Notamacropus eugenii: one gene and its partners. The protein of the gene in region 3 purifies or fractionates together with the protein of the main gene of each other region. This does not show direct contact. Links are inferred from orthologs where the notes say so. Each region holds a gene or a part of one and is shown on either strand. Other genes may lie near its edges. The genes, in order: ATXN2L, G3BP2, DDX6 and AGO2.

What was found.
Region 1: the proteins of DDX6 (region 3) and ATXN2L purify together in Homo sapiens (affinity purification with mass spectrometry; 6 studies listed by BioGRID and IntAct, with this or other methods). This does not show direct contact. The link is inferred for Notamacropus eugenii from reciprocal best matches to the Homo sapiens genes DDX6 and ATXN2L.
Region 2: the proteins of DDX6 (region 3) and G3BP2 purify together in Homo sapiens (affinity purification with mass spectrometry; 3 studies listed by BioGRID and IntAct, with this or other methods). This does not show direct contact. The link is inferred for Notamacropus eugenii from reciprocal best matches to the Homo sapiens genes DDX6 and G3BP2.
Region 4: the proteins of DDX6 (region 3) and AGO2 purify together in Homo sapiens (affinity purification with western blotting; 5 studies listed by BioGRID and IntAct, with this or other methods). This does not show direct contact. The link is inferred for Notamacropus eugenii from reciprocal best matches to the Homo sapiens genes DDX6 and AGO2.

The regions. Positions count from the first base shown.
Region 1 is NC_092872.1:46,614,926-46,622,716, reverse strand, and holds the start of ATXN2L (ataxin-2-like protein), read left to right. Parts: upstream 1-4,769; 5' UTR 4,770-5,010; coding exon 5,011-5,297; intron 5,298-6,187; exon of another isoform or gene 6,188-6,559; intron 6,560-7,116; coding exon 7,117-7,153; intron 7,154-7,312; coding exon 7,313-7,369; intron 7,370-7,452; coding exon 7,453-7,524; intron 7,525-7,791. Other genes in the region: uncharacterized protein, read left to right, coding at 1-768. UniProt on the Homo sapiens protein: Involved in the regulation of stress granule and P-body formation.
Region 2 is NC_092878.1:151,664,803-151,671,800, forward strand, and holds the start of G3BP2 (ras GTPase-activating protein-binding protein 2), read left to right. Parts: upstream 1-3,982; 5' UTR 3,983-4,256; intron 4,257-6,998.
Region 3 is NC_092876.1:280,063,631-280,070,689, forward strand, and holds the start of DDX6 (probable ATP-dependent RNA helicase DDX6), read left to right. Parts: upstream 1-4,053; 5' UTR 4,054-4,161; intron 4,162-4,310; exon of another isoform or gene 4,311-4,564; intron 4,565-4,998; exon of another isoform or gene 4,999-5,082; intron 5,083-5,254; exon of another isoform or gene 5,255-5,376; intron 5,377-7,059.
Region 4 is NC_092875.1:95,717,341-95,724,467, forward strand, and holds the start of AGO2 (protein argonaute-2), read left to right. Parts: upstream 1-4,105; 5' UTR 4,106-4,460; coding exon 4,461-4,482; intron 4,483-7,127.

The DNA of each region.
Region 1 (7,791 bases), on a different chromosome or scaffold from region 3:
GCATTCCTGCAGGGCTATAGAAAGACTGTGGGGGTAATGGAAATGAGGTATGCGAGGATGGAGAGACAAATCAATGTAGAATGTAGAAAGACTGAGGAGAAGATCCTTGCATTAGAGGGTGGTAGGGAGGGTCAATTCCTGGTAGAGACAGGTGAAAGTAAGGAACAGAACCTAGAAGGATATGGAGAGAATGAGAGACAGGTTCTGCAAGAAGTTGAAGTGTCTACTGAGACACAGTTTCAGGAGGCAGATGCAATAGGAACTGAAGGACAGATTGTCAAAGGTAGTAAACAGACAGAGGATCCCAAGAGAGATAAAGAAGCCACTAGAGGACAAACTTCGGGAGGAGATAGTGAAAGACAGACCCAGGATGGGGACAGTGAAGGACAAGCACAGGGAGGGTACAGCGAAGGACAAATCAAGGGAAGAGATGCTGAAGGGCAGACCCAGGGAGGGGATGCTAAAACCGAAGTCCACAGAGGGGATGAAGAGACCACTGAAGAACATGTCTCCAAGGAAGTTGGAGGAAATGAAACAAAACCCATAGGAGGGGAGGGAGAGGGAGAGGCCATAGAGCAAATCCCAAGTGGATATGAAGGGATAGAGGGATGGGCCTCAAGTGGAAAGATTGATACCCATCCATTGAGGACAGATGAGGATCTTTCAGAACAATCCCCAGGGGCACTTGGAGACATAGGTTCTTCCCCAAGACGAAGACATCATTCAGCCCCAGGGACAGATGGAGAGGTCAGGGGGGCAGAAAAATAAGCAAGCAGAAATAATCAAGGGAGGAATAGGAAGGAAAGTTCAGCCCTGTGCCTCCTGACTTTGTGACCATAATTTCCAGATAAATTGTTCTGAAAGGCCTTTCATCTCTTGATATTCTGATGATGTTAACAGAGCAGCTTATTTGGGGGTAGAGGTGGCATGGGGGAACAGATGTCAGTTTGAGTTTTAGAACAAAATAGGTAGAATGCCTGATAATGTGCTCTCATTCTTAACACTTCCTGAAAGAGAAAAAAAATAAGAAAACATGTTGCTTAGTGTGCAAAGGATTCAACCAGTTGAGCCGTAGGGCAGGGAAGCTGGTACATCCTTTGAGAAAAGGGTAGAAGGCTATGCAAAAAAAGAAAATTAGAACTGAACTTATAAAACCCTGGCACATAGGTTGCAGGGAAGGTTTCATGGAGAAAAGTTAAAATATTTTTCATTGACTTTAGGTAGCTGGAACAGCCTAGTGTCTTCCTTTTTTAGGTCAGAGATTGAGGGATTTGGGGACTGAATGTAATTATTGAAGGATAACCTTAGGAAATGTCCCCAGTTCATGGAAATTCAGTACACAGTAATTAACACAAGGTTTTGAACCTAGCCACTATTTATATCACCTGACGTGAAGGAGATGGTTCAATTATTTTACATGAATTTTGAGGTTCGTTCTGGCACTCACCTGCCTGATTGCTTCAGATAACATTTGTTTATAACTTGGTATGAATGGTAGGGTTTTGCCAAACAGTAATCCATACATACATAAGTTTAAACCTGTTCACCTGATTTATACATGGGTGCTCAGTAAGTATAATGAGAGTGATTTATCTCACCACCTTCCCTGGGGCTCTGAGTAATATTCCTTTCATGCCATTCATGAAATGCACATTCAAGAAATGTTTGTTAGCTAGAATGAAGGAGGCGTGAAGGGGGAAAGACAAGTTTAGAGGCCTTTCTTCCTAACCCAGTGTTCACAGGTGAGTGGAAAGGGACTTCAGAGATCATACTCCAACAAGAATACTGCCTTACAGATTGTCATCCAGTATTTGTGTGATGACATCGAAAAGGAAGAGTCCACCACCTCCTGAGGCAGACAGATCATTTTACAGGCTCTCACAACCTTGACTGGAAAGTTTTCTTATATCAGGCATAAATTTGCCTCTGCACCTTGCATCCACTGCTTTTAGTGCTGTCCAGTCCTTCCACATGACCCCTGTCCCATCAAGGGTACTTCAGGTCACATCTACCTGTCTTCTCCTGATTATACCTCCCCAGCTCTTTCAGCCAATCCACATAACATGATCTTAAAGATGAATGTCCAGACATAAACACAGTACTCCAGATGTCCTGCCCATGCCTGTTCCTGGCTACTCTGCCTCTCACTACAGTTTCAGAGATCATTAGGGGTTTTTTTTGTTTGTCATATCCCAGAGTTGATCCATATTGAGCTTGCAATTTACTAAAGCACCTAGATCTTTTTCAGAACAATTGCTGGCTAACTCTGCCTTCTCTATCTTGCACTTGAGAATTCGATATTTTTAACCCAACTATGAATCTTTATACTTATCCCTATTAAATATCTTAGGATTAGATCGGGATTCTTCAGTTTTTTGCATTGTAGACCCAGACTCCTTTGGCATTCTGGTGAAGCCTATGTATGGACCCCCTCCTCAGAATGTTTTTAAATGGATAAAATAAGATTACAAAGGAAACCAATTAAAATTAAAAAAATTTTTAAATTTACAAAACCCAATAAAAAGTTAAGAATTACCATATCATATTTAACCCAGTATTCTAACCTAATAATTTTTTTTGTTTCTTGAGCCCTAGAAGCTATCACTCTCTACTTTGTCATATGCAAATTCAGTAAGCATGGTATCTATGCCTTTATCCAAATCACTGATAAAAATATTAAACAGCACAGCTCTCTGGGACACTTGATTACACCTTCTTCCAAGGTAACACTGAACCATTAATGGCTACTCTTTGGGTGTAGTTATTCGGCTAGTCCTGAATCCACCCAACTAAATATCATCATCTCATATTTCTTTGCATTGTCCGCAAGAATGCCACAATATACATTTTCATATATTTTGCTAAAATCGGGTAAACTATGTGCATGATATACCCCTTATTTTTACAAGTCTAATTATGCCATCAGAAAAAGAAATGTTTAGTTTGGTATTACCTATTCTCAGTGACACCATGCTGACACTTGGAGTTATTGCTTTTTTTTTTTTTTTACCAACTAGATTTTGCTAGGAAGTAAAACAGAATTTATTGGCCTATGTTTTTCAGATTTCCATTCTGCTGAATGTCTGGATATCTGCCCGTTTTCAATCTTTGTAGCACCTCTGCCAATCACCTTGTCTGTCTGGACCTCACTTTCCTCATCTGTATGTGTGTGTGGAGTGGAGGTGGATTTAGATGACCTTTAAAGCCTCTTCCAGCTCTAATCTGATTAACCTAAAATGTCTAATTGCAGATCCAAATTGTTTTAGAAAAATCTGAATGGAGATTGTTACTGAATTGGCTGGCTCCTAAAATGTTTCCAGTTCTCTTATCTCTGGATGTGACTGTTGCCTCCATATGTAACTATCCGGAGAAGGCACATTTGTGTATATATTGTTGCCTTCCTTCCTGTGGTCACTCTTCCTTCTAGCTTTCAAGGTTAGGACACTTAAAAATACGCACACACACGCACACATATATAGATATATGTATATGAAGTTGTAAAATATTTTGTAAACCTTAGTTATTATTACCCCACTACCTTAAACCCTTTGGAAGAAAAATGCTAAAAACTGTGTACATAAATACTTCTTTTTAAGTACTACCATTCCTTCACTCTTCTTGATCCTCTCTCATTCCATAAAGATGGGCCTTAGACTTTAAATGAAGGGATTGGCCTAGATCATCTCTTCCAGTGCTCCTCCTAAACCTAAGGAATCACCCATTTGTAGCCAACATACTTGTGGTTCCTGTTCATCTCCTGAGCACATTGCCTTCATTTCTCCGGTATGGGAGAGTTTAGTCTTCCAATTTTACCAAGAAAAGATGGAGAAGACAGTAATAGAGCATAGGAAACTGGCAGGCTTCATTTTAAATGAGAGCCTGCACGACATCTTCACCCAAAGCCTCCTCCCAACCTGCGGGACTTTGATGACTTGACCGGTGGGTCTTGTTCCATCAGTTGGGGAAAAGCATGACTCGAAACAAAGATGTAGAAAATTGTTCTTCTAACAGATCCAAACCACCTATTAACCAGTAACTTCAAGAGACAACCTCACCCCCCTTTTTTCCATTAGAGCTGTTAATAAAGGAACACAACTTTTTAAAAAATAGTTTATCTTCCTGAATGTATCCGAGACACCTACTAACGTAGTTAGTTGTTAACGATAATAAGCAGGTCGAAGGGACGGGAAGCAAAAGTCTAAATAAATTCTCCGTGGGCTAACAAACAAACGTAGGCTCCTTACTGCAGAGGAAACGTCAATGCCACCCGCTCCCTCCGGGCCTTTTTGCCTTCAAACCGATCCCTGTACGAGTCCCGGTAAGGCGGAAGGATAAGGGATTGCACGGCAGTACTGTGACGTTGCACATGCGGCGCTGGCTGTACTAGGTAGGAGAATCGCACATGCGCAGTGGTTACCTATAGCTGGTCTCCTTTCTTGCCCCTCCCCCAGTACTTCACACGCTCATTGTCAAGCGACGGCGGCGAGCGGGCGGTCACGGGGCGCGCCAGAGACTCCGATACCTCGCGCGCGTGCGCCTTTAGCTCTCTTCAACATTCCCCCTCCCCCACCCCCATCTCCCATTCCCTACTCTGAGTCTTCCCAGTGTACTAGGAACGCAAAATTCACCTTTCTTTGCTACCCCTTTTCGCTTAACCTAGAGCTAACCGTCTAGGTGTGAGCGCGTCTCCTCGGTCCCTCGCTCCCGGGGGCTTGCGTACGCGCGCGCACTCTCTCTTAACTCCCCCTCCCCCGCCTCATACTGTTTCTTTCGCGCACGCGCGCCGGCTCGCGCCCTCTCTCTCGCTTTCCTCAAGCCCGCGAGATCCCCCCTTCCGCCTCGCGGCGCCTTCTCGCGCCGCCGCCTCCTTGTATCCCTCACACACCGGCCCCCCCACCCGCTAACGGCGGCGCCCCCTCTTCCCAACCCCCTTCACTCCTCGCGCGCTCGGGCGGGCCCGGCCTCAGCCCAGTCCTGCCCCCCCCAACTCCCCTTCCGGACGCCGCCACCATGTTGAAGCCGCAGCCGCCTCAGCCATCTCAGCCCCAGCAGACACCCATCCAGCAACCGGCACCAGCACGCCGGCCTCCCGGGGGGACCAGCCCCCCCAACGGAAACCTCGGGGGGACCCCAGCCTCCGCCTCGGCCCCGGGGCCGCCCACTGCCGCTTCCCCAGGCCTAGGGCCTCCTGCCGGAGGCAGTGGGCTCCGCCGGGGAGCTGAGGGGGTTCTGCCGCCACAGCCGCCAACACATCAGCATCAGGAGCGGCCCGGGGGCGCTGCTACTGGCAGTACCAGGTGAAGAGGGGCTGGACGAGGGGGGATGACGGGACGTGGGACGGCCGAGGGCCCCCTGCTTGTTGGTAAACGTCTGTCTGCCATCAAGGAAGGGGCGGGAAGGAAAGCCCGCGGAGTCCCTTGACCCGGCCACTTTCGGAGGGAGACAGTGGCCAGGGTTGGGCGGTGGGCTGCCGTTGTGCCGGGGGCAGCAACGCTGAGGGTCCCCGGTCCAACTTTCCGGAGGGGTTCGGCGGGGGCTCTTGGGTTTAGCCAATGGGGATGAAAGAGGAAGCGGCGTGTGCCCCTACGGTCTGGCCAATAGAGGAGATGGGGTCCCTGAGTCGAACCAATGCAGGGTGGGGGGATCCTTCATTTCATCCCATTGTGGAAGTGGGGTTCCTAAGTCGGGCTAAATGGTGGGGCAGGATGGGGGAAGGGGCGGCCCTTTGGCCAACCAGCAGGTTGCTCAGCAGAAGGGAGCCTAGCCCTAGGGGGCTCGACTAGGTGGGAATTCTTTGCCTTGTGTAGACCGGGAAGGGTAGACTGGGCAGGATGGAATGCCCCCCATCCCCGGCCTCGGAGGAGCGAGCGAGAGTGTGTGTCTGTGTCAGTGTCCGTATCGAAGGGGGTGCATCAATGGCGGGGGCGGGGGGAGGAGGAGAGGAGGGAGGTAAAGGTGAGTAGGGTCCCCGGCTCAATTGATGTGAAGGGTCTCGCGGTCCCAAAGCTCAGCCAATGGGTGGGAAGAGGCGGGAAGGGGTCCCTAGCTATAGCCAATGGGGGGGCGTGGAGTCCATAGTTGGGCCAATGGGCAGAGAAGAAATAGGCTGCGCCTTCCCCCCGCCCCCCCCAAGGAGGGAACTGCAGACCCTGTATAACCCCCTGTGCGCGCGCGCACCCCAGTACGTGCGCGTGGAGAAGGTGCCGTCTTATGACAGGGTGTTAGGACGGCGCTCCTGGCGGCTCCGTGAGGATAGCTGTAGCCGGCGCGGTCTAGTCCAATATTCTGCGGTCTGTTTCTAAGGTCAGGGCGGGGGTGGGAGCTCGGCGGACCGCACATCTCTCGTGGAGCTTATTGAGGCTGTACGCAGGCGCTCTGGGGGCAGGAAGGCGAGCGAGCGTGAAGGAAGCCTGAGGGCTGTAGTGCGCAAGCGCTGAATGGGTGAGGCCTCCCTGTGGATAGCGTCTGCGTCTGCGCGGTCCCCTCACCCCGCCAAACGGCCCCCCCTCCCCCCAACGGCCAGTTACATCAGCCTGTGAGGACCCTGGTATCCGCGGCGGTTAGTTCTCCCCAGAATGGGTAATGGGGCTTTTCGTGTAGGGGTGGAGACAGTTGTCTTCCGTGGGCGAGCTCGGGGGCTTGCTAGAGGTGCCTTTGGCACTCTGGGGTGATGGCTTTAGATTGGCCAGTCCTAGATGGGCTCCATGTGCTTCCTTGTTCTTGTGGGTGTTGTAAACCCTGAGCCCCGTCCCCTTGCCTTGGGAGAGCTGCGGGAAGGTTGCCTCTTAATCTCGTCTCACAGAATGGTTTGGACAGAGAGCTAGGCCGTGGGCTTTGAAATGAAAATAATGCATCTCGCTCCTCCAGTTCTTTGCCTTTTTAAGATGTGGACAAGCCTGAAGGCTGTACTGGTTTATAGACTTTCATTGCTCTGTGCCTGATGAGGCCCAGGGACGTCTCTTATCCAGCCTTTCTTTACTCCTGTAAAAGATGTGGACCTTTCTTTTTTTGTTGTATGTTGAGTTAGACGTTCCTGACCCCTTTGTAGATGGGAGTGTAGGAGGGAATTGGGCAGACTTGAATAACTAAAAGTGTCCTTGTTGTTTTCTCTTATAGGGGACAGAGCACAGGAAAGGGGCCCCCACCGTCACCTGTGAGTGCCTTTCCAGTAGTTAAATTCAGGGATGTAAAAGGGTGAAGTGGGAACCACTGGGGAATCGGGCAAAAGAAATGTCAGAAAGGTAGAAGTTTAGGATACCTGATAAGCGTCTTCCCTTTACTCATTAATTTGTCATCTCCGTGTTATTTTCAGGTATTTGAGGGTGTCTACAATAACTCTAGGATGCTACACTTCCTTACTGCTGTTGTGGTATGTACCTGTCTTCTAAAGTAGTTTGGTGGGGTCTTAAATAAGTGTAATGTGAAGTCTTTAATTGTTGCTCTTTCTGCCAGGGCTCCACTTGTGATGTAAAGGTGAAAAATGGTACCACATATGAAGGTATTTTCAAGACTCTGAGTTCAAAGGTAAGTGTATTCATCAACCTGGCTTGGAAGTTAGAACCAGCTGGAAAGGGTGGTATGTGGGAGATGCAGTGCCGTCAGTCTTAAAGATCGTCGTAAAAACTCTGCCATTCTGTACAGATGTTCCTAGCCTAGCATTGCTTGCTATAATTGTTTTATATTTCATCATAATAAGCGCTGTAGCTTTGAAAAAATATTGATGGCTGGGCAGGTGTGCGTTTGTACGTTATCTCTAGCCTGATTTCTTTTCATCGTTAAGATTACATAAAG
Region 2 (6,998 bases), on a different chromosome or scaffold from region 3:
TAGTCTAGGGTTAAAAATGTAAAATCATTTGCATATAATATTTCATAAATTTATCTCAAATTGGCTTGTTACTCTGCCTCCCTCAAGGACTCCGGGAAAATCTCTAAATATAGCTCATGCCTCATTTCTCAACAAACTTTATATCTTCTTCCCTACTTCATGTAGGGGAAATATATTCCCATTATAGTTTTGAGTAGTTTTACTAAAAGAAATTAGAATCGAAAAGACCGTATTAAACACTCTAAGTGGCTACATGTTATTTACTCTTTGGGGTAACAGCGACCACCCCTGTGGGAAGTTGGAATTCACCATCTCACTTTTCCAAGGTGACTAAAACTCCCATAAGTCATTGGAAAAAGATTATCCTTCATTTCTCCTCAAATCACATTCTACTCACTGCAACCATAGTAGCTCTTTGGGATGTTCATCTGAGGAGTCAGAGCTAGGAGTCATCTTCTTACAGGGATGGCTATTGGATGAACCCACCCACAATAGTCTTGCCAACGTCTCTAAAATGTTCACTGCCCAGCCCTCTGACCCCTGGATACTGAGAGGCCCCTATCCCTTAGGCACAGAACCTCATCTCTTTACCCCCAATTGATTTCATCTCTTTCTAGTCTGCTTACTGCTTTTCTGCTTAGCAGGCCTCTTTTTTTGTCATGGTTGTTACAAATTGATTCATTTGGTGAATTTTTTCAATCTCTGCCCAGAGTGATAACCTCTTATTTTATAGTTCTAGGTGAAAATTAAGTGAGTGTCATATTGTATTTCATCATATGGATGATCATACATCACAGAATTTAAGGCTCCATCCTAGGCCCTCTTTTATTCTCTCTTTACACTCTCATTCTTGGTGATCTCACTAGCTCCCATGGATTAAATTCTCATCTCTGGTCAGATAACTCCAAGATCTATATATCTGGTCAATTCTTCCATCAACAGGCATTTATGAGAAATCTGCTGTGGACCAAGTACTGTGTTAGGCACTAAGGAAATCAATATAAAGACTGCAATAATTCTTCAGTCCTTATCATTTTCTTGACTACCCATCTGACATGGACATTTGCCTATTGGACATTTCTACTACTGTGTCCCATAGGCTATGTTCATAAATATTATTACATGCCCATAGTAATAATGTTTATGAACATAGCAGTATGGCTTGGGGGACTTAAGGCTGCTAGCTTACAGTTGCCCGCTTTACCACTCATGTCTTGGGTGACTGACTATACTATGGTAAAGTCTGGCTATAAAGAAATTTTTTGGGGAAAAAAGTCATAAGACCAGTATTTATTCTGAACATTGACATTCACTGCTACTTGAGAGGCAGATTGATCAAGACAAGGAAAGGGGGAAACTCTGACTGGTCAAGAGAGAGAATCCAAATATTCTATGTTTCCTTTTTACCATTTCGAGACTCTCCATCTACCGCTGTCACTCAGCAACCTCTGCCTCCTTTGAGGTACATTCAATCCAGATTTATCACCTATTGCCTATCCATCCACAGGCCATTTTCTTACTCTCCACAGTTGCTGCTACAAACATCATCCTATCTCAAGTTTCTACAGTAATCCCTTCACCTTTACAGCTAGGAACCTGTCCTCATATTTCACTGAAAAAACTGAGGTCATTTGCTATGAGCTCCATCTTCTCTTCTCATCTCCCATCCCTCAGACACCCTTCCCTATTATCATTGCTTTAACTTCTTTCTATCTTTGATGAAAAGGCTTCCCTTCTCTTCGCAAAGACAAAATCCAAACTTCACAGAAAAATCCCTCCCCCCCTTAATAAAAGGATTTGTTCTGTAAAACTTGGAATCAGTCAAAAGGCTGCACCCAAGGACCTAGAAGGCCATACATGACTTTGAGGACACAGGTTCCCCACCCCTGACATGCATCCTTGAACCCATATTCCCTCTTCTATACTCAAGCAAAAGGCTTCTTTTATCATTCTTATTCCCTCTTTCTCTTTTATCTTCAGTCACGCCCTATCTACTGGCTCCATTCCCCCAGCCTACAAATCCACTCACTTCTCCAACATTCTTTAAAACCCTCATTTGGTCCTCCTTTCCCTCTAGGCTAAACTCCTTTCCTTACCCCTCATTTAAACCTCTCTTAAACCCTTTGCAACCAGGCTTCAGACCAGACTCCATCATTCAACTGAAACAGCTCTCTCCAAAGTTACCACTGACCTCTTAATTGCCAGCTCTAATGCCTTTTCTCAATCCTCTTCATTCTTGATCTCTCTGCAACCTTTGACATTGTCGATCCCCTTTTCCTGGATATTGTTTTGTCTCTGGGTTTCATGACATTGCTTTCTCCAGCTTCTTCTATCCGTGTTAGACTATTCCTCTTTAGTTTTCTTTGCTTGATCATCCTCCTATTCACACCCAATAATAACGTTGAGTGTATCTCAAAGTTCAGCCCTGGCATCTTCTCTCTTTTCCCTTTAAATCCTTTTCCAAGAGTTTCCCTCTTATGAACTCCCAAGGATTCAACCGCTGTCTCTGCAGATGACACCCAAATCTATTCATCCAGCACTTTTCTTTCTCTAGATTTCCAATCCCACACTAAGACAGAATTAATTAAGACACAAAAGACAGTTGTCTTTGGAAAGAACTCATTATTTCCCTTGCCAACCTCCCTTTGTCCATTTCATTATTTTTGCTGTTGTTCTTATCAGCCTCTCAGGCTAAAGTGCATTTTAGATTCCTCACTCTAACTCACCAACATGTCCAATTTTTTGCCAGGCTTTCCTACCTTCAGTGGATTTCTCCCATATATTCCCATTTCTCCATTCATCCAGCCACCACTCTACTTCAGGCCCTGATCACCTTCCACCTGGACTATTACTTCGAGTGTTTCCCTCCAATTGATCCTCCACTCATCTGCCATTTTCCTATAGCCTACATCTGCCTAGTCATTATTCCATAAACTCTAGTAGTTCCCCATTACTTCCAGAATCAATACAAAGTCCTCTGATTGGCATTCAAAGCCCTTTGTAACTTAGCACCTTCCTGCCTTTTTATTTTTACACTTTACAACCTTCCATGCTCTATGATCCAGCTACATTGGACTATTTATTTGTAACTCTTCACAGGACTCCATCTCCCTCTCTCTGCCTTTGGATTGGCGGCATGGGCCCAAGCCATGGAATTCTGTTCCTCGTTATCTTAGTTACTCTGACTTCTTTCAAAATTTAACTCAAATCCTCCCTAGTATCTTCCCCCTCTGAGGTTCTTTCATCTACTCTGTTTCTATTTTAATTATATATATGTCATTTGTAACTTGTTTTTGTAAAACGAGCAGTTGGATATTTCGTTGCTAGAATATGACCTTCTTGAGAGCAAGGACTTTGGTCTTTCTTTGTCTACCCAACACAAAGCATTTAACAAAAGCTTGTTAGCTTACTGGTAGAGTTGAGACTAGGACCCAGGTGCTAGACTAGGTCTAGAACTCTCCAGTCCAGGGTTCTTTGCGCTACAACTCCAAGGTCCACACTAGACTGAAACTGTAACCACTTGCCTGCAAACTGTAACTGCAGCAACGTGTAAATAACTTTGTAGACAAAATTGCTACATCTTTCTTTCCCTTGGCACAAAATATGGTATCCTTGAATCTGCCAAGATTACAATGTTGCAGTAGGAGGGCCTCCTGCGCCCGCCCGGTTTTAGGCGAGGACCAGCTACCCGGGTCCCTTCTCCCATCTCCCGGCTTCTAGTCTCCAATGACGTCAAAGTCGCGGGAGCGCGCGGGCCGGGGGAGGGAGGGGCGGCGTTCCAGAGGCCGGTTCCGGTTTTCTCCAGTCCCGGCCGCGAGCAAGAGGGAGCTCGAGAACAGGCGCCAGGGTCGCGGCGATGTGCGCGTGCTCAGAAAAGGGACAGGGCGGGGGGAGAGGAAAGGCGGGCCCGCGAGGAGAGGCTCGGTGGTTGGCCGAGGCCGCACCAACGGGGCTCCCCAGCCGGTCTGGCAGGGGTAAAACAATAAGAGTGGGCGGTGGTAAAGGGGGCGGGACCCCAGGGTTCTCTGTCGCTCAATGCCAGAGCCCGGCGCGGAGGAAGGAGGGGAGTCGGGGAGAGAGGGAGCGAGAGAGCCACGCGTGCGCGCGCCCCGCAGGACAGCGCCCGAGACTCGCTCCGGGGGTTTTTGTTGCGTCGGGGAGGCCGGGCCGAGCGGAGCGAACGCGGAGCAGCCGCCGCAGCCTCTTCCGTGAACTGAGTCTGTTCCTCGGCTGGCCTCCGCCGCTGTTGGTTGGAGGTGTGTGTGTGTGCGTGTGTAAATGTGTGTGTGAGCTGGGGGGGGGCTGGTGTGTTGGCCGGGAGGGCACTAACTGCTGGCGCACCCCGGCTCGAGGCAACCGTCTGGCGCGAGCCGCGCGGGACATTGTTCTGGCCGGCGCCGCGGGCCTCCGGGGAGAAAGCGGGGAGCGTAGACCCGGCCCCGGGGCGGGGGAGGGGGGGCAGCGGCTGCGGCCGGCGCCGCCCTGCCCGGGGTGGGGGGGCCAGGCGAGAGTCGCGGCCTCCGGGCACCATTGCTGCCAGCCAGCCCCCGAGCCGGCCGGGCTGGGGGCGCCGGCGTCACCCCCTCCTGCATCCGTCCTTCCCCGAGTGGGGGAGGGGGAAGGTCCTCCCCCCTCCCCCTCTCCCTCCCCCTCCTCCTCCTGCTCCTGCCCCTCCGCGGCCTCTCTTTGCAGGTGGGAGGCCTTTCCTCCCTTTCCGCAGCCCCTCACTGCTGGAAGCTCATCCCTCCTTCCCCACACCCGGAAACGGACCTGAAGGGACTTGCTCCCCAGGACTCGCTCAGGATGCGTTTCTCCTCCGCACATTTGCAGGGAAGAATTAATTTAGGGGGTAGGGGAAATAGGTAGGCCATCCTTTTGGCTGTTTCTATTTAGATAAAAAATAGTGAAACCTAATTTTTAATGGGTTTTTAGGGGGGGAGGATGTTTTGTTTTGCCTTTTTTGAGTGATATATTTTGTGCTGATTCCCTTTAATCGTGATATCCAGGCTCTCTTGGTTTTGTTATGTGATGGGCACGTTCACTTTAGAGCCCACCACTGTCTGCCTCCAATCTACCTTTGCGGCCATGTTTTATGATACACGTCGTGGGTTCTGTATTCCATCCCTAGCTAAACCTCAGTGCTAGCCATTCCAGATCCTGTTTCTTTCCACCCTGCCTCTAATAGGCTCCTTCCATACATCCTTTAGGGCCAGATCAAGCATCACCTTCAGAAATATCCCCTGCTCTCTCCCCCCGCCCCCAGCTGGAAATGATTTCTTGCAGTAATCTGTATTGCCTCTCTGCCTCTCTTACCCATGTATGTTACACTGTTCTAACTTGTATCACGTTGTAACTTTTCATTTTTTTTATTTCCGTGTTTGTTTTATCTAAACCTCTCCTAGATTGTAAACGTCTGAAGCTTACGTCTTGTGGCCTCGATGGGGGTGGGGGTGGGGGTGGGAGGACGACAGGAGACGACAACGGAGATGGTGGCGGCGCAGCAACTGCTGGAGGTTCTTCATCTTTGTCTCTCTAGGGCCTTGCATGGAAATAGATGTTCAATAAGTGTCTGTTAAAGTGGATTTCAGTGGATGGGTATTATGGTATATGCTGTTGCATAATATAACGCGGATGGATGACCAGAAGCGTCCTCCTACAGTTGTTCATCAAAGTGCAAGAATTGCATATACTTGGACCTTTGTAATGCTATACTTTTGAAGGGAGAACGGCCTTACAGTTTGCTTTCCCGAAAGAGTATGGAAATTCCTGCCCAAGTCTATATTTGCCTCTTAATTTAAACTTCATTATGTGAAGAAAATGACCTAGCTAAATATTCTGTGGGCCTTTGGGCATCTAATAAAGCTGCTGTTTTTAATTGAATTCTGACAGGTAACCTGGATTTGAACCCGGAAGGATGATGATTCTCCAGATGAAATAATCTTTTAATATAATAACATTTTATTTCTAGGATGGCCATATGTGGTCTTCCTGATTTCCCTTGATGATTTACTTTGGAAATGCTTCATTAAGAACCTTTGTAGTTCGTTGTCCAGTATGTATGCCTATCTGACGTCTATCATGGTTCAAGTGGAAGTATATAAGTTGAGAAACTGTTTTAAAGAATTATTAATGCCATCAACATTAAGGTTTACAACTGAAAAAAATTATTATGGTAGGGAGCAGAGAAGAGATTTTTATAACTGATATCAGGTATCCTTGGTAGAAAAGGTGTGGGGAAAGGCCAACCCTAATCTCAAATGTAGATTAGGATTCTTTTGGCAGTTTGAGCTACTGAATAATACATTCCTATCATCATGTAACATCCAATCTGTGTTTCAAATCTTTTTCTCATTGTGGCCAGCATTTTATATACTATACAAAATTCAGAATGTTGCTTTTTTTTTTTTTTAGCATTTTATTAATGCAGCTAACTCAAGTTTTATCATTAGCCTTTGAATATTTAAATTTTATATCTCTACTCAAATATAGCATTCATGCCTTAGAAACCTCTTTTCACAAAACCTTTTGAATTTTTTGATATTATTCTTCATTTTTCATGTGATTAAACTGAGACTTAATGGGTTTTGACTTACCCATAGGGTTGTCACACAAGCAAGCATTTTGTAAACTCATTAAAGAATATGCTTGAGTTTTGGTTTCTCTGGGATTTTCAAATCCATCCTTCCATTGACTTCTTTTTTCTTCAGCAAGCATTTAAAAATGCCTCTTAGATCCAATTGCCCTGAAAGACTTTGAGGATTCAAAAACTGCCTGCAAGGAACTTCTTGCTGTGCAAAATAACTGCTCTTGCCATTTTAAAAAGTTTTTTTTGCCATTTACAGCTCCATTGAGTTAAAGGTGGAGTGTTTTAAAGACTTGAAGATGGATATCTTTTTATATTGCATTTACATCCCTTAAAATCAAGGCTTAATTGCCAGCTCTTAACCTGTTTTCTATTATTAGGTCAATAAATTTTTTTTTTAGTCTACTAGCTGAAA
Region 3 (7,059 bases):
CTGCTTAAAGACCCTGAGGGAATTGAGTGGCTAATGTGGATCTAAGCCCTGAGTGGCTCTCCTGGGTTGCAGAAGAGTGCTGGCAATGGAGGTGGGGGTGGCTCTGGAGAGGGAACCCTGCTGAAGATCCTGGATAGAACAGAGTACTTGTGGTTGCTCCCAGACCAGAGCACAGGCCAGGACAGGAGTAAAATTCCTCCCTTGATTGTGCTACTTTGGAGAAAGTGAGAACTTATAGGTCCCCAGAGTATACCTTCCTCTTGACAAAAGACTCAAAAGTCAAGTAACTGGCTGGGAAAATGACTAAAAAAGGGGAAAAAGAATACGACTATAGAAAGCTACTTTCTTGTTGAACAGGTATTTTCTTCCTTCCTTTCGGATGAGGAAGAACAATGCATACCATCAGAGGAAGACCTAGAAGTCAAGGTTTCTGCATCCAAAACAGCCAAAATAAATATGCAATGGTCTCAGGCCATGGAAGAGCTCAAACAGAATTTTGAAAATCAAGTAAGAAAGATGGAGGAAAAATTGGGAAGAGAAATGAGAGCAGTGCAAGAAAATCATGAAAAGCAAGTCAACACCTTGCTAAAGGAGACCCAAAAAAATGCTGAAGAAAATAACACCTTTAAAAATAGGCTAACTCAATTGGTAAAAGAGGTCCAAAAAGCCAATGAGGAGAAGAATGCTTTAAAAAGCAGAATTAGCCAAATGGAAAAGGAGGTTCAAAAGTTCACTAAAGGAAATAGTTCTTTAAAAATTAGAATGGAGAAGATGGAAGCTAATGACTTTATGAGAAACCAAGAAATTACAAAACAAAACCAAAAGAATGAAAAAATAGAAGATAATGTGAAAAATCTCACTGGAAAAACAACTGACCTGGAAAATAGATCTAGGAGAGACAATTCAAAAATTATGGGACTACCTGAAAGGCATGACCAAAAGAAGAACCTAGATATCATCTTTCATGAAATTATCAATAAAAATTGTTGATATTCTAGAACCAGAGGGCAAAATAAATATTGAAAGAATCCACCAATCACCTTCTGAAAGAGATCTGAAAAGAAAAACTCCTAGGAATATGGTAGCCAAATTCCAGAGTTCCCAGGTCAAGGAGAAAATATTGCAAGAAGCTAGAAAGAAACAATTTGAGTATTGTATAAATACAATCAGGATAACACAAGATCTAGCAGCTTCTACATTAAGGGATCAAAGGGCTTGGAATATGATATTCCAGAAGTCAAAGGAACTAGGATTAAGACCAAGAATCACCTACCCAGCAAAACTGAGTATAATACTTCAAGGGAAAAAATGGTCTTTCAAAGAAACAGAGGACTTCCAAGCATTATTGATGAAAAGACCAGAACTGAAGAGAAAATCTGACTTTCAAACACAAGAATCAAGAGAAGCATGAAAAGGTAAACAGGAAAGAGCAATCATAAGGGACTTTCTAAAGTTGAACTGTTTACATTCCTACATGGAAAGATAATATTTGCAACTCTTGAAATTTTTCTCAGTATTTGGATAGTTGCAGGGAGTACACACACACACACACACACACACACACACACACACACACACAGCACAGGGTGAGTTGAATAAGAAGGGATGAAACCAAAAAAAATAAAGGGGTGAGAGGTATATGTTGCGAGGAGAAAGGGAGAAATGGAATGGGGCAAATTATCTCTCACAAAAAAGGCAAGAAAAAGCTTTTTCAATGGAGAAAAAGGAGGAGGTGAGAGAGAAAAATGAAGCTTACTCTCATCCTATTTGGCTTAAGGAAGGAATAACACACTCACTCAATTTGGTATGCAAATCTATCTTATATTACAGGAAAGTAGGGGAGAAGGGGATAAGTGGGGTGGGGAGATGATAGAAGGGAGGGCAAATGGGAGGAGGGAGTAATTAGAAGTAATCACTTTAGGGGAAGGACAACATCAAAAGAGAGAATAGAATAAATGGGGCACAGGAAAGGATAGGGGAAATATAGTTAATATTACACAACATGACTATTATGGAAGTCATTTGCAAAACTACACATATGTAATCTATATTGAATTGCTTGCCTTCTCAGTGGGGATGAGTGGGGAGGGAGGAAGGGAGAGAAGTTGGAGCTCAAAGTTTTAGGAATAAATGTTGAGAACTGTTTTTGCATACAACTGGGAAATAAGAAATGCTTGTAATGGGGTACAGAAATCTGTCTTGCCCTACAAGAAAAGAGAGAAGATGAGCATAAAGGAAGGGAGAGGTGTGACAGAAGGGAGGGAATATTGAGGGAGCAGGTAATCAGAATGCATGGCATTTTGGGGTGGGTAGAGGAGAAAGATGGGGAGAAAATTTGGAACTCAAAATTTTGTGGAAATGAATGTTTAAAACTAAAAATAAATGAACATAAATAAATAGAAAGGAAAAAAATACCAGTTGAATGAGAGAAAAGAATTTTAAAATCCTCTAGTGAAAAAGGCAAGATGGCACACCTTTCCAAACACAATGTTTTTATACTTTGACCATTGACTAATGCAAAGACGCCCCCTGGACCAAGATATACTATCTTTGTAAGTAATCTTTCTTGGCACTAGACGAAAACCACCTAAGAATCTAGCAAGGTCTACTAGCAACTAACTTTGCACCCAGGAACAGATAAGAACTAAAGGAGGCCTACAAATGGTCCACAGCTGAGTTCTAAGTTGGCTGAGCTGTCTAGATAAGGGGCTAAAGAACTGCTGCCTCTGGGGTATTGAGGTTCTATTAAAACCTGCCATAGATAGATTGGTGGATGACTAAACAAACTGTGGTACATAAATGTAATGGAAATACTCTGCTCTAAGAGATGAGAAGTAGGATGAAGACGGAGAAGCACAGAAAGATATCCACAAACTGATACAAAGTGAAGACCAGGAAGATCACATATACCATGACTACAACAATATTAATAAATGAATAACCACAAAATAATTGAAAATAAATGCTGAAAAATTTTAAAACAAGCTTGACTCAAAGAAAAAAGATGAGAAAACATCTCCTTCTATTCCTTTGTACTAATGGGGGCCCCTTGTGTTTGGAAGATTGCATAAAATATCAAATATTTTTCCCACTTATTGGGTAATTTTGCTGAATTTTTTCCTCTTAAAAAATCTTTGTTATAAGGGATCTCTATCTGGGAGGAAGAGTGTTGAGATACAGGAGCGAAATCTAGGTGAGATAAAAACAAAAGACTGATAAAAATATATTAAAAATGAAATACTAAATCTGAATGGGAGAGCTGAAGAAGAATTACATTCATTGTCAACATACCTTTTTCAACCTTCGTATCCTCCCTCTCCTTCTGCTGAAACCCAAGGTTAAAGCTTTGTTTTCTTGACTTTCTAGACCCTCATTTTCACCTCTGAACATTGCAACCAAAGCCTGTTCTCCATTTTTCCATGAAACATGAAGAGGAGTTGAGGTCACTGGATAGAGACCTACATGAATCTCTTTCTTTGGGGATGGCCACAACAGACAATAAGCATTTATTAAGCGCCTACTAAGCACCCGACCAAGCCCTGGAGATACAAGGAAAGACAAAAGACTGTTTCTCCTTCCAAGGACTTCACAATCTAACGGAGTTAGAGAGATGAAGGAGAGTATGTAGAACGAAACATGATTTACTGGACAATTTGTTTTCCTTCATTATGCTGGTTACCAGGGTTTTCCTTCTTTCCTCTCCCCCTCACAGTGGCGGGTAGGGTTGTGAGGGGGGAGGGGAATACTATTTTTTTAATTGAGAAAAATTAATTTTTTAAAAAAAGAAAGATTTGGACCGCCTCTAAATCCCCTCCCAGCTGTAAAACTTACTAACTTATTATGGATCATCCCATGGGAGGTGGGGAGGTGGTTGGGGGGGAAATAGATTTTTCCTCATTGAAATAAATAATTGAAGAAAAGGTTTGGACAGGCTCTCCATGCTGCCCCGCTGCAAAGGTGAGCCGAAGCCATGGGGGTCCTGCCACAAACTCACCTCCTTGTTCTCACAGAGGGCACCGACCCCCCTCCTTCGTCCCGTCAGCGCTCACAATGCCTGGCAGCAGAGCTACCTGCCTGGAGAGAGGCATGTGTACATTAGGTATCATTGCCGCCGGGGCTCCCGGAAGACCCCGGTTCGAATCCCAGCTCGGCACTACCGAGGTTAGACTCTTTCCCCCTCAGACGGGGGTCCCCCGAAAGAGGGGCGCCGAGCAGCGAGCTCAGTCTCCCCGTCTGGGGGCTGGGAGGGTTACGGGGGAGCTTCTCTTGTTTACTCTTATCCTGGCGGCGGGCACCACCGGAAGGCGAGATTTTTTTTCCTGGCACTACCCGCCGGACGCTCGCCCGCCCCGCCGCCGAGGCTCCCCGTCCTGCCCGCAGGACGCGCCCCCTCGCTTCGCCCGCCCGCCTCACAGGCCGCTCAGCCGCCCCGGGGTGCGCGGGTGGGGGATGGGGAGCGGGCACCTCCGCGCTGGAAGCAGGGAGGGCAGCAGCTCGGCCGCCCAGGAGCGGGGGTGCCTCCCTCCGGCCACAAGCAGGCGGCCCCGCCACCGGGAAGCATCAGGTCGGTGGTCGCCCCAATTCTCAGCCCCGAGCCCCTAGCCCGCGCCCCCCGCCTGGGGAGGGGGCCGGGCGGGCCCTCGCGCCCCCGCCCTGCCTGCCTCTGGGCCCCTTTTTGAGGGCGCGCCCCATCCCCCCTGACGCCCCTCAGAGAGGGGCCCCGAGCCCGCCGTGCCCGCCCGGCAGCCCCACGTCCCGGAGCCCCTGCTGTCGCTGCCGCCGGCCCGACCCCCCGGCCCTGCCGAGGTGGGGGCGCTTGCCCCCCGTTTTCTCCTCAGCGAAGACTCGGGCCCCCGGTAGATGGGGCGGCGGCGGGGGCGGCGGCGGCGGCGCAGGAGGCGGCCCCGGCCCGGGGCTCGGCCCGAGCTCTCGCCATCTTGAGGGGAGGAGGAGCCGCGGCCGCCGCCATGCGGGGAGGCAGGGAAAGAGGGAGGGCGGCAGCGAGGGAGGGGGCGCGGCGGCGGAGTTGGCTCGGCCCGGTCGGCGGCTTCGGCGGCGCCATGAGAGCGGGGAGCGGCGGAGGTAGGCCGGGCGCAGCCGGGACGCCGGGCGGGCTGGCTGGCGGGCGCGCCGGGGCGGAGCGCGGCGTGGAGGCCCGAGGGGAAGCTGCTGAGGGGGCTCCGGTGGCCCTGGGGCTGGACTGGGCCGGCCCGGCCGGGCCGGGGAGGGCTGGGCCGGGGGGCGGGCGGGCGGAGGGTTTCGGGGAGGAAGGAACCGCCGCCATCTTGGGAGCTTCGAGTCAACAATAAAGGAGCCGGGGACCCTGGCGGCGGCGGCCTCGGCGCCGTGACACAGGCCCCAGCCGCGGCCAGTGGGGTGAGGCGCCGAGCTCGGCCGCTGCCGAGGCGCGGGGGCTGCGGGAAGCGGGCCGGGCCTGTCAGGGGAGGGGGCGCTCCGGGGCGGAGGCCCGAGGCCCGGTCGGGGCCTCGGGGGCAGCCTAGGAAGCGGCGGGGGCTGCGAGGGGTAGAATCCGAAGGCGAGGGCCGAGGGGGGCCTGGGACCGGGAACCGAACAGGGCGAGGAGCGGGCCCGCGCCAGTGACAGCTTTATAGGGACTGGGGGATGTGGGGGCCGCAGGGCCGGGGGACGTGGCGTCCCCCTACTGGGGCGGCGGGGGGGGCATACTGCGGCTCCCCGTGGACAGTCCCCTCTCCACCCTCCCCCCGCGCGTGGACAGTCGGGGTGCTGGAATGCCCTCCGTAGGTTGAGGGGGAAGGGGGTGAGTCTTCGGGCCCCGAGGGGGAGGGGGAATCCCCATTGTTTCCCGCTGGCTGAGCTGGCGGGGCCGCGGCTGCTCCGCCAGCGTTGCGCAGATCCCATTGCAGGGCCCCAGCCTCTTTGTTTTTAAGGCCGAAGGAAGCGGCTCGGGATGGAAAATAACCGAGAAATGAGCGGCGCACGGGCGGGGGTGTCCCCCGAAGTCGTCGTGCACTTCTCCCTTCGACTTGTCCCCCGCTTCGTTCTCTTCTCCGTCCTTCCAGACCCACCTCCCTCAGAATGAAAGCCCCCACCCCAAGGCTCCTCCTGGGCTAACCCTAAAGGGAAGCTGCGCCGCCGTGGCAACAAAAGCCGGCGGGGCCGAGGAGTTTTGGGGTGCGGAGCTGTCATTGGCGAGCTCGTGCAGGAAGCGCTGCCGCTAACTCAGCCTTCCTCTCTGCGCTCCGGTGTAATTTCTGAACATGCAGCCATGGAACTTGGAGACGGAACTTGGTCTGCTGAGGAGAAGGGGGGGATGTTATTGCTCTTGTGAAGCGGCCGTGCAGCTTCTCTCCCCGTTAGAAGTGGGGTCCCCATCGGCCGGCTGGGCGAGCGGGAGCGGAACGGCGGCGTTACCGAGCCGGACCGGGCGCCCTTGTCATGCCCGGCGCTTCGCTGGCGTTCAGTCATCCTCCCAGGCTCCTCGGGTGAGGGTGCTGGCGGTGTTGATGCTCGCAGTGTAAACCTGTCACAACAGGAAGCCTCCGAAGTGAGCGGCCGTCCGCAGGGCCGCGGGAGGGTTTGTTTTAGCAGAATTCTGGCCTTCTTAGGAGCAGACCGGTGTTCGGTAAAGGCCACCCAGCCTTTTCTTCAGGAGATGAGTTTTAGAGTCAGGGAACGTCTTCCTGAGAAGTTTCCGTCCAAGTCGTCTTGGTTTTCTTACACGCTGCTTTTGTCTGCATGAGCCTCGGTGTTTGTTGGCGGACCGAGCGTGGCTTACCGAGTTTTCTAAAAGGGCGCATGGCTCATCTTAGTGGGGGAAGGCAGCGTGGTCTGGGTGAACAGTCCGGCTTCTTTTTCCCGACGTTTTCAAGGCTGGCACGCGTAGTATTTCGCAGAACCACCGTCTGGTGTTTTTGTAGAAAGGAAGTCGGGCCCTTCCTTGCGCGCTTTTTGTTTGCTGCGCTGTGTGCGGTGTGAACTTGGACACGGCACTTTTAGAATGCAGAGCTTGCTCGAATTAAAATTTAAACGATTCAGGTAGCCTTTAAGTCCTCTGGCCAGTTTCCAAGCAGAAGCCTA
Region 4 (7,127 bases), on a different chromosome or scaffold from region 3:
CAGAGGATGTGTATCTCTCCTCTCAGGGTTCTAGAGGGAACCCTGAAGGATTAGGGTTTCTAGTACTGTAGCTCATGTGACTCCATCCAGTATGCTTTTCATTAACTGTCAGCCAGTTAATTAGCTTTTTGAAAGGCCATCAACTAAAGTCATTTATTAAGAACAGTTGGTATAGAAATATCTCTTAAAAGTCTGGAGCATATTTTCCCACACATTTTTTGTATACACACAGGTCCACTGGAAGAGTGAGCTCAAACTTAGAGTACAATGATGGTGAGGGACACAAATAGGACACATATGAAGTCAAAAGAATAACTCACAGCTCCAAGTTACTGGAAGTTCTTTTCTTTCTTCTCTGAATACTCATTAGGTTCCCTTTAGATGTAACTTTGTGGACTCTGACAGTCAGTACCATTGCAGATTCCTGAAGTTGCTTGTCTTCAGTGTGTTTATCTTGTCCTGTGTATATTTCTCAGTTCCCAGTTAGATGCATTATTTCCTCCTGATCCAGTCTTCCTAATAACACGGTCAGGGGAGAATGGGAGGTGCAGGGTGAGGGGGAGAGATATAAGTAAGGTTCTGCTTCAAAGTGCTCCTGAGTCTGGAAACTCCTGAAATTCAACTATTTCACTGTTGCACTGGCTCACTGTGCAGTATTTATTACATATAAGACCAGAGGTGTATTTGTTTCTTTTAGCCAATAACAAAATATTTACTGCATGACGTTATTTATTTTCATCTAGTAGCACTTTGCTGAATCTTCATCCAAGTCATGCCCACTAACTGGAGGTATCCCTCAAGGTTCTGTCCTAGGCCCTTTAGATGATTCCACTTCATGATTTCATCAGTCCATGGGTTTAACTACCATCTCATCTCCATGAAGAATGATTCTTAGATCTACATGCCCAGGTTTAAATTCTTTCTTGACTTCTACTCTCATATCACCAATTGCCTCTTAGACATCGTTTGGTTGCTTTTTAAAAATTTATTTTATTTTTAATTTATGGCTGTTTTTTAAAACAAGGTCTCCCTTCTTCACCTAGCTAGAAGTTCAGGGGCTACTCCTGGTTCTGATCTCACCTACCCATTTATAAACTCGGGCCAGTCAATTACATCTTAGGCAACTTAATGGCTCCCCATCATGCAGGGGCTCAACACATTTTTGTTGACTTAGTACAGACAACTGAGCAGCTTTGCCCATTATATCTCAGAACTTCTGAGCTCAAGAGATCCCACTGGCCTTAGCTTTCCCATTATCTGGATTACAGGTTTGTGCCAGCATGCCCTGTTCTCTTAGATATCTTGAACTGGACTTATTTTTACCCCTAAATCATCCCCTCTTCCCAACTTTTCTATTAATGTTGAAAACATCCTTCAGTCACTTAAGCATATATCATTAAAATCATCCTTGAGACTCCTTTCTTATACTCACTTAAGAGAAATGATTATTAATAACTAATGATATGGAGAAATTCAGAGTTTCCCCGTTAGAAGGTAAGCGAAATGAAAGCAATGGATTTCCTTTTTGCCACTATATCCCTAGGGCTTAGCAAAGCACTGGCCACACATTTGTTCAGCTGTTTTCAGTTGTGTGTGACTCTTTGTGTCCCTATCCTTCTCATCTATCCTTTGGCAATCCTAGAATCATCCTTAACTATTTCCTCTTCCCCAACTCCCATATCTAATCAACTACCAAGTTCTGTTGATCCTGCCCCATAATATTTCTCACATCCATTCCCTTTTCTTCATTCATAAAACATCTGCTCCCCTTTAAGACTTCACCATCTCTGTTCTGCGGTATGCACCTAACTGGCTCTCCTATCTCCAGTTTCTTCCCTCTCCAATCTCTTGGAGTGATATCTTAACTCATGAGTGAGTTGGATTTAAGTGAGGCAGAGTTGCACAAAATCATCAGCCTCACTCTCTTGTCCAGAGAAGGGCTACAGCCCTGGATGCAGTGGGTGACTTGGTGTCTTGGATGACCAAGCTCTAAGCATTCTACAACGCATGCTTCAGTCAGTTTCATGACTGCTGGAACAAACTGTTTTCATCTGCCCATTACATTGAGGAGTCTTCATGTGCTTGGGGTAGACATTCCCTAATTCACTGATGGGTTTGAGGCCTTCGGATTACCCTCAATTTGGTTTAGTACATCTTCTAAGACATCTTACCAGTGTGATCACTAAGCATGCTACAGTTTCTTGGAGTCACAGGTGAGAATTTGGTGAGTCAAATAACTAACATTATGGCTAAGGAAAAAGAAATGAAACTTTTACAGAACAGTATAAATGGCAAATAAATATATGCAAGAGAATCATCGCGGGTTGTTGAAGGGGTAGATAGTAGATTGCAGAATGGCATGGAAACTGATATAGAATAGATTAGACTGGAGATGATGTGCAAGATAGATTTGAGGGAAGAGAGACTGTCAATAGAGGCTATTTTTAATTAATTTTTTTGTCAATTAATAAGCATTCTTTTTTCCCATCTTTCAAAGCCCAACTCAAAAAAAGGAAAACAAAACCCTTTTAACAAATACGCATAATTAAGCAAAACAAATCCTTATATTAGTCATATCCTAAAATGTATGTCTCATTTTGTATCTTGAGTTCATCATCTGTCAAGAGGTGAATGACATGCTTCATCATCCCTACTTTGGAATCATTGCTGGCCATTTCATTGAACCTTCAAAGGATATGAACAGATAGTTCTTAAGGGAAGAAATCCAAATTATCAAGAGCTATGTTAAAAAAAATGCTCCAAATCACTAATAATAAGAGAAATTTATATTAAAGCAACTGAGGTTCCAGTTCACACCTATCAGATTGGAGTTGAATTTAAAAAAAAAAAATAGGAAAAAGGGCTATTTGACCTTTGCAACAGGGTTAAGTTCTTAAAAGTCATCTGAGATTGGTCCTATGAGAGATCCTTATCAGTTAGGCCTACATAAGCCACTGCAGATCTGGCTTGGACTCTGTTTCTGAGAGTCTAAGGTGCTAATTTTAGCTTCTGGGTCTTCAAGAGTGGATTTGGGCTGGGCCAGGAGGTGGCGTATTGGTCATGTGTTTGTTTGGTTGAACAGGGTGTATGCCTAAGTTCAAATACAAGACAGTTATAAAGCTTTCTGACATCCATCAGCTCAGTGCATTTCCAAGTCTAAATGATGAGCAGGAGATTGTAGTAAGGGCTGTATACATTTACTGTGAATTTTAGCACTGCCTGCATTTGGCAATTGTAAATAATACAGAATATCCCGAGTCCTCAGGTAGTTGGCTTGCCTAGTTGTCCCAGAACTGTTGTTGTCTATTTCCCGAAAACCCACTTCCCAATCACCACCCTAACTCCCCCAGGATCACATTAGACCAGAGCAGGAATGGAAGGGGAAGGATACTGGCAGAAATGTAGCCTCCATGAGAGAGGCTCTACAGGTTGCAGGAAGACCCCAATTCTCTTTTCAGGAAGACCCCAATTCTCTTTGCTCTACGGACCAGTTCAACCCTATATCTTCCCTATCCTTTCCCTCTCCCTCTTTCTCCATCTTCAAGAACACGGGAAAAGAGATTACCCTTTCACCTTCCTACCTCATAACCCGCCGAAGTATTTCCCCTCCCCCAACCAATCTTCCCCGCCAAAAAAGAAAAAAAATTGCAAGCCTGTCAGCCAACATTTGTCAGATCTCTCGGCGCGCTAACGTAAACCTGAGCTACCATCAGGGGTGGCTAAGTTTAAACATCTGCTGGCTGTAGAGATCCTTTTTCCTTCTGCCCTTTCTCTCCAGCACAGCCGGTTCCCCCCCCTGCCCCCCCGCCCCCTAGCCGCTTTGGGTTTTAGGCTCCCCCGCCTACCAGCCTAGACCCAGCGTTGAACCTGACGCCGGGCCCCGCCTAATACTCTCGTCACTACCCCAGCTCCTCCTCTCTCCTTCCTCCACCCAGGCCCCACTCCCCCCTCAACCCCCCCGCGTCCACCCCCCCCCCCCCGCCTCCCGCCGTCTCCACCCCCGTATGGCCTCTGTGAAAACTAGGCGGTCTGTACTGTACAGCCCGCACTGCACGTTGCAAGCTCCCCTTTCTCGTCAGCCGTCACCACTGGGCATGCTCATTTAGTCAGGGCTGGGTTCCCCCCCTCCCTTCTTGGTCGCAAGTAGCTTTCCTTTCCCCCCTCCTCCTCTTTTTTCCCCTCTTCGGCACTACAACGGCTCCCCGGCTCCCGGCGGCTGGCCGGCCCTCCCTCCCTCCTTCCTTCCCTCTTCCCTTCCCTCCCTCTCTCTCCCCCTTCCTTCCCTCCCTCCTTCCTTCCTTCCCTTCCCCTTCACTCCTCTGCCGGCACAGTGTCGCGTAAACCTGTTTGGTGAGGCGCCCGCCTGAAGGCGCAGGGTCGGACCGCGCTCGCGGCTGCTGCGTTGGGGGGGCCTGATTCTCACTCCTTGGCTCCCGGGAGCCCCCCAGCCCAGGACAGACATGTATTCGGGAGCAGGACCCGGTGAGTACCCGGGCTTTTTACTCAGGTTCTTAGCGTGGTTACCGGTTCGGGGTGGGGGTGTGTGGGGGCAAGGAGAAGGCCGTCTGGAGATGGAGGGGTGGCTTTTCTCTCTTTTCGCACCCCCTTTTGAAACGTGTGGGGCTCAGAGCGGGACGCGTGCGCTCACACTCACGCACACACTCACACTCACACCCCAGGGGGGAAGCGGGGGGCTTGAGGCGCTGGCGGGGCGACTGGGGCAGGGGCTGAGTCTGAGCGCGCGCTCCTCACTCCTCTCGCTCGCGCACACCCCGGGAGCAAAGCGGAGGGCGCGAGGCGCTCGGAGGCGGCGGCTGGGGTGGCTGTTGCTGGGGGCTGAGAGCGGGGAGCGCGCACTTAGACACACACACACGCACACACACTCGCAGGGAGCGCGAGGCGCTGGGCGGCTGCTGTTGCTGGGGCTGAGTGCGGGGCGCGCGCACTCATACACACCCCGGGAGCCAAGCGCACCCCCGACTTTCCTACTCGCAAGCCCCAGGCCCCAGTCTCTGCTCCTAGCTCCAGTCCCGAGGGTGCGGCGGGCCATCCCCAGTTCTATTGGGTTCTCGGCTGAGGGTCGTCTTCCTACCTGGGGCGGGGGCGGGGGGGGGGCGGCAAGTGGCGGCCGCTAAACTGAGTCCCACAACCCTTTTCCAGTCCCCAGATAGCCGCCACCGCCACCACTTAAACCCACAGCTACTCATACACCTCCCTCCACTAGGCCGTCTCCTCCTCCCCTCCCGAGTTGCCTGGACTCCCTCCTTTTTAAAGTGCTTAGTAGCTGAGAAAACTACAGCCAATCGAGCCAGCATTTATTAAGCGCTTTCTATGTGTCAGGCGCCGGGGATACAAAGACAAAACCGAAATATCCCTTTCCTTACTCGAGGACGGGACTCAGTTGTTTCTTTCCGCCCCACAGTGTAGACCTTGCACACCGCCGCCCGCCCTCCCGCTTTCCTCGCCAGACGTCTGGCCGTAGGGGGTTTGCAGCCCCCGCGGCTTCTGGGACTGCGCCTAGGCCCCACGAGGAGCCTGAGGGGCTGAGGAAAGACTTGGGAAGAGCAGTAGCCTACTCTGGTTTCCTCTCAAAACAAACAAACGCTTGGTATATCTTTCTTCCTTCCAGATGCCTGAACTTCCCCCCCTTGCCTCCCGCCATGGATCGGATTAAATCCGTGGGCTTCGTATCTGGGGGCTTTGGGCCAGGGATCCGGGGAGGGAAGGAGTGGGAGGTTGGAAATTCCTTCTCCAGCTCTACTCAGGGTTTCCTTCCCGTCGCCTCATTACTATGTTGGTTCAAGTTCCTGTTTGGGGTTGGGGGGGCGGGTGGCAATAGTACTAGATTCCCAATGCCATGCTCGAAGGAAAGAGAACTTATTGATGGTGATTCGTGATCTTGTCCTAAACCTTCTTGAGTGAAGTCAGTTTCATGGTCTTTTTTCTTTTTTGCAAGAGTTTTTCTGGTTCCCCTGTGAGGCCGGTCTGGAAGGGCTGAATTGTAGCCAATTCAATTGGTGGAGATTCAAACTTTCTCCCGATAGGGATTTGAAATCCTTAAAACATTTGTCTGTGTTTTACATATGTCATCATGGTTCTAAATTATCTTGCCATCTTTTGTTAATGTGTTACTTTTCCTTTTAGAATTTACTTGATGAAAGTTACAAGGCCTGATGTTTTAGCGCCTTCTTTTCCTAGTTAGTCCCTTTTATTTTGTAGACAAGTTTTCAAAAGCTTGAAGCCATCACAAACGGCTTAAATAGGGAGCAGGAATGGCAAGGGGGATTTAAAACTCTTGATTTGATTAGCAACTGGGCATGGTGATTGTCAAGATATTAATATTTTCCTTACCTTCGGTCTCTCCTTTTAAATGTCTTAAGGCACAATTCTGTCAGGTGGATCCACGGGCATCTCCACTTGGTCTTCTCAGAGATGTTGAATCACACTCATTATACCAAGCAGAACAAGGATTGGTTCTAAGACTTCCACTATCTGCTAACACCTTAAATGTGCTTATTGTTTCATTACACCCATCTAACACCCTATACACTACAGGGAGATTTTCTTGCTACACTTTGGCCTTCCACTTTTAAGCCTTTGCTCTGTGGCTGTTTTTTTATCCTTGACAAAACATGCTTATTCCACCTTCAGAGCTCCACCTCAGCATTCATAGCACCTCATATTTTTACATATAGTTATCCCTACATTTATTATATGTAAATGTCGAATTTCTGTCTCAAACCTGCTTTATCTTAAGGTACCATACTAAACTTTAGAAAAAAATAAAACTGGTGCTTATTAATTATTGAAAGAATAATGATTATTTTGGTTTTAATACACTGGCATTTTTTAAAGGTACATTAGATAATGTCATGAATTAGTCATGTTCCAAACTTAAAAATCTGAAGGCTCTTAGAATATAAAAATACTAAGATTTTAAACACTGCAGTTCTCCAGAGATAGTCTTGAGACAACCCATAACATTGATTTTGCAAGTGATTGTAATGTTGTATGAAATGGTGAAATTCAGTCTTTGGTGAGGGGAAAAAATTAACGGTGCTATATGACGCTGTCTTGGTCAAGAGTAGCTTTGGGGAGAAACTTACAGAATTCAGCATTTATGCATA